Oryzias latipes: one gene and its partner. The protein of the gene in region 1 interacts with the protein of each later gene in a biochemical or structural test. Links are inferred from orthologs where the notes say so. Each region holds a gene or a part of one and is shown on either strand. Other genes may lie near its edges.

Region 1 (2,916 bases):
GGAGGTAGCGGAGATGAAGATGTTGAGGTTCTCCTTAGGAATGACCAGGTTAGACAGGATAAGGAACGAGTACATCAGAGGGACGGCTCATGTTGCCTGTGTTAGCGACAAAGTCAGAGAAGCCAGACTGAGATGGTTTGGACATGTTCAGAGGAGGGATAGTGGATATATTGGTAGAAGGATGTTGGAGATGGAGCTGCCTGGCCGGAGGGCAAGAGGACGGCCAAAGAGGAGATATATGGATGTCTTAACAGAGGACATGAAGTTGGCTAATGTTAGGGTAGAAGATGTTCATGATAGAGTGAGGTGGAAAAGGATGATTCGCTGTGGCGACCCCTGATGGGAAAAGCCGAAAGAGAAAGAAGATAAATTATACATTCTTTTTATAGAATAACTTCCTGGGAGTTACAAACCCGCTTTAATCTCAAATTATCAACAGTTATTTTTCGAAATTTACTGAGTGATTCCATAATAACTGACAATCTTGTTAGTTTTTCTGTTAAAAAGTGCAAACAGGAACAAAGTCACATCGATCATTAAACATGCAGGAGACATGCAGGGACTGCAACCTGACACACACGCTGATAAATAAATGTGAACCTTTATGACTACACAGCAGAGAAAAATAGTGCAACGTTTTTTAAAGTACATTGAAGGGGATCCAGGGCACAGGCGAGTCAACCTCGAGCGGCGCAACAGTATCAGAGTGCATGAAAACTTTAAAGCCATGTTCACACCGCCCTCTGCAATGCGCGTTCAAGCAGCACTTCCAATAAAAAGTCTACATAGACACGCGTAAATGCGCATTTCAGGCTAGCGCTTAAAACCTTTGCATTCACGTGTCGCTACGTACATTTTAAAGACAATTTTTGAGCTCTACATACAAAACGCACGGCCATTAAACCCGTGTTGAAAGTTAAACCAGGTCGAGCTGAAATAGCCAAAATTATACGACACCAGGTCTTTTGTATGTCGGAATAAAGCATGGATTTGCACCGCTTTGACATTTCCAACTGTTGGTGGTGGACATGTCAGTAAACAGTGGGGGGAAAACAGTTTTTTTCCTGCTAAATGTGCCTTCAAAAACGCGTCTTGAACGCGCATCACATGCCCGGTGTAAACGCAGTTTCAGAGAAGCATCAGGAGCGTCTTTAATACGTCAGGATTATTCAACTTCAAAAGCAGCATATACAACCTCCCAACTTTAATAAAGTGTCTGAGAACATATAACCGCAGAAAAACTATCATAGATATCTGCTCAGCTCTGGTTGCAAAATTAAAGACATCTAAGCAGACGGGATGCGGGCCGTGTGCTGGTTTCGTCCGTAGATGAGGAAGCCCATCGCTGTGCGCAGCTCCTCAAGCTCCAGGTTCCTCAGGAAGTTCCTCTGAAGCTCCGCCTCCACCCTGTTCCCAGCAGGTCCACTGCAGCCCTTCAGCAGAACCACAGCAGACTGGCACAGTAACCACTCAGCCAGCTTTCTCATGCCAGCATTTCCCTGTTTATCCAGAATCCTCTGACCCCAAAGGGTGAGGTGCAGCATGTTTGCTGCTACACGAGCACTGGGGCGCTACACGGCAGAGATAAGACAAACACATTGAATTTATTAGATTATCGCTATATCTGCTCCTATTTATGTAATTATTAACAATAATGATTACATGAATTCAACCATTTTGAAAAAAACTTTGCTTTACCTTTGTAGGACTCCTCCTGAGGAGTAATCGAATCACTAACTGCACATCAGCGGGGGCACTGGAATGCAGGATAGGGAGCTGCTTCTCCTGGTAGCTGATGCTATGCAGTCCAACAGCATGGTAGAATGGATTTGGTTCACCAAAAATCTCGTAGGAAATGGCGCCCACAGCCCACGCATCGGCCTTGCTGTAGTCGATCACGACTCTGCGCCCAGGGACTGCAGAGGCCACCTAATGCCAGAAACGCACAGAGAGACGATGAGCCCCTGCAGCCTGCAGACACTACACCAAACGGTCTATCCAAATTAGTAAAGTAGTGATCAAACAGCTAAGTGAACTGTGACACAGCCAATTAATACATCTCTTGTATTTTAGTTTTATGGAGTACCACAGGGAAATATGTTGGGGACTCAATTTTTTCTTTTTTACGCCATCTTTATCTCTTTTACTTGATGCTAAAATACACAATTTTATGATTTTTATAATAAATGTATTACGTTTTACTAACGTCAATCATTGGTTGGGGCATCTTACATTGAAATCAATGGAAATGGACATATTACAACAAGCCAGGAAGTGGTCACTTGATAACCTGATCTGGCAGCAGATACTTTTGTTTTTGGACCTGCTTCAAACAGGAAGTCATGGTGTTTCGCATGGATAATGCATGTTTTTATGATTATGACAGAGACATTTTCTTAATAAACCACTTCTGTTTTGATGATCAGGTGGTCGTAAACACTTGGCATTTGAATAAAAACAGAAGTCATGATCACTCAGTCATTGGGATCCATGACAATTAAGACATGCTCATATGTAAGCCAGTCCTTTAGTCTTCTTTATAAAAACCACCATATGAAGATTATTTAAAACAAAAATAAAGTATTTATACCTCAGGGGCCATAAGAGAGGCATTCCCCCCTCTGTCCACCCACTGGCTGTTGAAGGGCAGCTGCAAACTCTGCTCACTTTCAGCCAGACAGCAGCCGAAGTCTGTGATCACTAAACGGGGGCAACCATCTGTGCATAAAAACAAACAAAAATAAGACAAATCCGTGGAGCAGCTGATGTTAAATAAGGTGTTTTTCCAATCAAAGTCTGGTTCTAGAGCTCACCCGAGTCAAACTCCAGCAGCACGTTGTCTGATTTGAGATCCCTGTGAGCAACGCCCTGCTTGCACAGATGGTCCACACCCTCCAGGAGCTGCAGCACCATCAC
Region 2 (4,433 bases), on another chromosome or scaffold:
CCACAATTCAGCTCTGCAGAAACTATGTCCTAAGAAAAACAACACAGGCTTTTTTTGTATTTTGACTAAAAGCAGCATAAACGGGATTAAAAGATCACTTTGAAAATAGCTTCAAAGATGATCGGAGTGGGTCTTTAAAATGGCCTCTGCTGTTTTTATGTTGTTTTATAATGGAGTGTCATTTTCAACTTTTTTTTTTTTCTTGTTTTTCTTTCCCGCAGAGTTGGAGGAAGCTCTTCAGAGAAGTCTTGTGGAGTTCTAAGTGCTTTCTAAATGAAGTAGTTCCTGTTGTTCACCTGTCACGTTGACCTTTTTTACTCAAGGTCATTGTTTTCAGAAGTTATAAATAAAAGTCATGAATTATTTGAATTGATTTACTTCCTTTAGCAGCCAAAGTCAGCAGTTCTTGGGGCAGACAGTGGGTTTTAAAGCTAGTTAGAAGCTGAGGGTTTATAAAAAGTCAGACGTTCTAAACATTGAAGCTATGTGTCACGTGTTCACACACACACACACACACACACACACAGGATTGTGGTGACACAGCTAGATGCCTGGGCTGACCTCGTGACCGCAGACCAACCGCTCCTCCACCTCTCTGGTTTCACTACAGACGTGAGGATTCTCTTTACCGGCTGCTCAGACGTCAGAAATGAATGAGCAGAAATTGTATTTTTTCTACAGAAAAGTTTGTATGAAACATCATTACATGAGTTCAACTTAAAGAAAAAGGTTTTTTGTGTAAAAGTGTGAGTGAATAACAGGGACAGAACGGTTTTCCTAAAAAGTACTCTCTGTGAAAATATTTTTCTTTAATAAAGATATAATAACGGAGCATGACGTTTGGTCATTGAATGTTACATTTGATTATTTTGTTCGGAGAACAGAAAAAAAAAACAGTTTGGAGACCTGTTGGTTGGTAAAATAGATGGAATCTATCTTTGTGGCTTGAAGCAATAGAGATAATGGTAACAAGCACCTGTCACCTCATCAGCGCCCCCTAAAGGTGGTTTTGTTACATTGTGTCTTTGCTTTTTTCTTTTAACTAAAATGATGAAAAAGTGCCACTTGTACAAATTGATGAGAGTTGCAAATGTCATGTTTAACAAACCTGTATGAACTCTGCAAAAATATTATTCAAATCATGCAGAAAACAGTTATTGGACAATACTATTATTTTATATTTACTTGATGTATTCGTCTTTTAGTTTATTTTTATTTTCTAATCAATTTATGACAATTGTTTTTTTGCCTCCTAATTATATAAAAGTTCCAGAAAAAATAAGCTTTCTCTCCCCCTGTTCCCTTTTATCTCCCAGATATAAAATCTTGTGTAAAATAAAATCTGTTGTTTTATGGAAATTCAAATAAAGCATTTTAAAGCTAAAGCGCTCCTCACTCAGAGCCCCCTGTTGGAGCCCCCTGTCTGGGTTGGAGCCTCCTCTCTGGGTTCCTCGGGAAGTTTCTGTGAGGAGGAGGAAGAGGAGGAAGCTGAAGCCCATGTTAGGAAATGTTGTCCCAGGGGCGCTGCTGCCTGTAGCCTGAGGAATTACTGGTCAGGCGGAGAGCTTAAAGCGCCGCTCACTCTTTGGATTGACTGATCGGACTACAGAAACTCGGCACTGCAGCACTAATTATTATGGCTCAGGCGAAAATCCAGGCGAAGATGAACGAAGCGGTCTGCAGCAAGTTCAGCAGGACACTGTCCATGGCTGATCGCTCCGGAAGACTGCTGGAAACTCTGGATCAGCTGGAAATCAGGTACAATAACGGGCCTCGCCATGCGCGTCTTCTTTGGAGGTGCTCTCGTTCGTTTGACACTGTGGCGTAACTTTAACAACTGAACGTGATTGGAAGGAAAAAGAAAAGCTGTTTTTTTTTGACGGATGTTTGTTTTTGTCAGGGTGGAGGCTTTAAGAGAAACAGCATCCGCCCTGGAGCAGGAAAGAGAAGGCATCCTGGAAATGATTCAATCCATCCAGAACAGTCAAGAAATGCGTAACATCTGTGCGGGTGAGGCTGCTAATTCTCTCCCACAACTTACATAAGAGCACAAGTCATCCGCTGCTTAATACCAGTGAAGAGTGGCTTAACTTTCCAGTAATCTTAATTCCTGTTTTTTGCTACTTTGATCCTGTGGTGATAAAAGGAAAACTTTGCGTGATGGTCAAGAAACTGAAAAGAACAATGTGCTCCACCCAAAATGCATCACATGTCTCACCCATAGAGGTCCCATTTCACCTCTGTGTCTTTCTATTAAACCCTCTAAAAGGAACACACTATACTTCTGAGTCCAACATAGCAAGTTTACTACAAGATATAAACTTTTTTTCATGGTATAAGTAGAAAGAAAAATTCTGTTCTTTTCATGGTACCATATTATATTTACATATTCAACATAAGTCCACACATTTTCATGAATAGAAAGGAACAAAAAAAATGAAATTCTTGTTATATTTCTGCCCCTATATCAAATCTTAAAGACCCACTCAGGAAAATTGTGTTTTTGGTGTTTTTAACATGTTGTTGTGGTGTTTTTCTCAAAATGCAGGACATATAGAAAGAAAATTCAGCTCATATTTCCATTTCGGTGTATTTCTTTATTCAAATTGCAAAAGCAAAAATGCCATTTGAAAAAGCTTGTAGGTTTGACGTAGAAGCTAATACAGCAGACCACAAACGTCCTGCTCTTCTCTGCTCCATTCTGATGCATCCACTTGCGGACAAATAGATCCATGTAGGTCTTTTGTTTTCCTCATCCGAGTTGGCTTCCGGCTCAAAGCTGGACGGATGGATATCTCCATTCTTGCAGGCCATTTGAGTTGCATCAGTAATGTTACGTTGGGGTTATAAAGGGCTGTAAATTTGCAGGAGAGCGTTTAAACACATAGATGTCCGGAAGCAAGGGTGGGCTTACTCCACGCCTACGGCCCCACCTACAACTTAGAGGCAGATTTCTAATGAATTCCTGCCGCTCTGCAGAAATTATGTCCTAGAAAATGACACAGGATTTTTTTATTTGGGCTAAAAATGGTATAACTATAATTACAAAACCACTCGGAACACTTTGGAAATAGATCAAAAGACGATTTATTAACATAAAATACATCAAAATAAATGAAATGAGTCAAAAACAGGTTAATAATAATATTTTTTATGACAAATTAAAGCTCTAATTTCCTTTTCTTCTGCAGGAGAAAGGGAAGAGTTGAGCTTAACTGCGAACCGTCTGATGGGCCGGACTCTGACGGTGGAGATCTCCGTTGGCACCATTAGAAACCCCCAGCAGGAGGAGGCCCTGCGGAAAGCCACATCCATGATTGACGAAATCGTAAAAAAGTTGCTGGTCGACATGGAAGGCGGTCGGCAGCAGCTGATGGCGCTGCACGCCGCCTGCGTGACCGAAGCACCGCCTGTCCCCATCGATCAGAAGTTCCAGGTTGTGGTGATCAGCTGCTCTTTGGAGGACCAGAAGAAGATCAAACAGAGGCTGGAGACGCTGGTGAGGAATGTGGAAAACGCTGAAAAGAACATCAAAATTATGGATCATCAAAAACTGGAGAGTGCAAAAACCAACTGCAGTAGTTAATAATCATCACCAAAGCATGAAGGGTGTTTTTGAATTCCACTTTACCTCACAAAGGAGAGCTGCACAAGCATGACTCTTAGGGATCCATGCATTGTAACCAACCCTGAAAAGTACACTGGTACACATTTTTTTTGTAAAAAGGTCAATTTTTACTTTAAATTTTACTACACCGACATAGCTAAAGGGCACACAGTTCACAATGTATGTTCATCAATAAGCCCAAGAAAGAACAAATACAGATGCATCACAGATTGAAGTTCAACCTTTTGAAGACAATATATAATTTTGAGCACATTTTGCAGCAATTCAGTGCTCTGACATATGAGGTGATTGACAATGCAACAACCAGTATTTTACCAATACTGTGATCGTTAACGTTGAAAATAAAATTACAAACATGTCAAATGAAACCACCTGACAGGAAGTTCGTGGAATTTATCTCAGTTGTAGAAAGACTTTTTATTTGTCTTACAGTTTTAGTTGAAAGGATTTTTGACACAAACTCTGTACGCCTTCATCTTCTGCTGTTTTTTTTTTTGTTACATTTTTATGAAACACAAAGAAAGAAAGTCAATAAAAACTGTGAGAAGCCTCTGAATATGCAGTTTCTTGTTTTCACAAATGGGGAATCCTCCTTTATTTTGTCATTTGGTTTGATAAGAACCTAAAAGCACATGTACAGTTCATAAAATTGCACAAGTCAATGCTTACAATTGGGAGAAAATATTAAAAGTTGTTTCACCATCATGTATGTAGTAGCACAAGGAAAATATGAAACTTAAAAAAAATTGTGATGATGGGACAAAAGCATTCAAAAAGAAAAGAAGGTTCTGTAGCAATTTTGAAA

The links. The genes of interacting proteins can lie anywhere in the genome.
Region 2: the proteins of pink1 (region 1) and bag2 form a complex in vitro, tested with the Homo sapiens proteins (2 studies listed by BioGRID). The link is inferred for Oryzias latipes from reciprocal best matches to the Homo sapiens genes PINK1 and BAG2.

The regions. Positions count from the first base shown.
Region 1 is NC_019865.2:23,696,155-23,699,070, reverse strand, and holds the end of pink1 (serine/threonine-protein kinase PINK1, mitochondrial), read right to left. Parts: coding exon 2,814-2,916; intron 2,719-2,813; coding exon 2,591-2,718; intron 1,930-2,590; coding exon 1,699-1,929; intron 1,572-1,698; coding exon 1,287-1,571; 3' UTR 583-1,286; downstream 1-582. UniProt on the Homo sapiens protein: Serine/threonine-protein kinase which acts as a sensor of mitochondrial damage and protects against mitochondrial dysfunction during cellular stress.
Region 2 is NC_019873.2:24,430,436-24,434,868, forward strand, and holds bag2 (BAG family molecular chaperone regulator 2), read left to right. Parts: upstream 1-1,482; 5' UTR 1,483-1,636; coding exon 1,637-1,758; intron 1,759-1,900; coding exon 1,901-2,010; intron 2,011-3,191; coding exon 3,192-3,586; 3' UTR 3,587-4,180; downstream 4,181-4,433. Other genes in the region: E3 SUMO-protein ligase ZNF451, read left to right, coding at 222-262. UniProt on the Homo sapiens protein: Co-chaperone for HSP70 and HSC70 chaperone proteins. Acts as a nucleotide-exchange factor (NEF) promoting the release of ADP from the HSP70 and HSC70 proteins thereby triggering client/substrate protein release.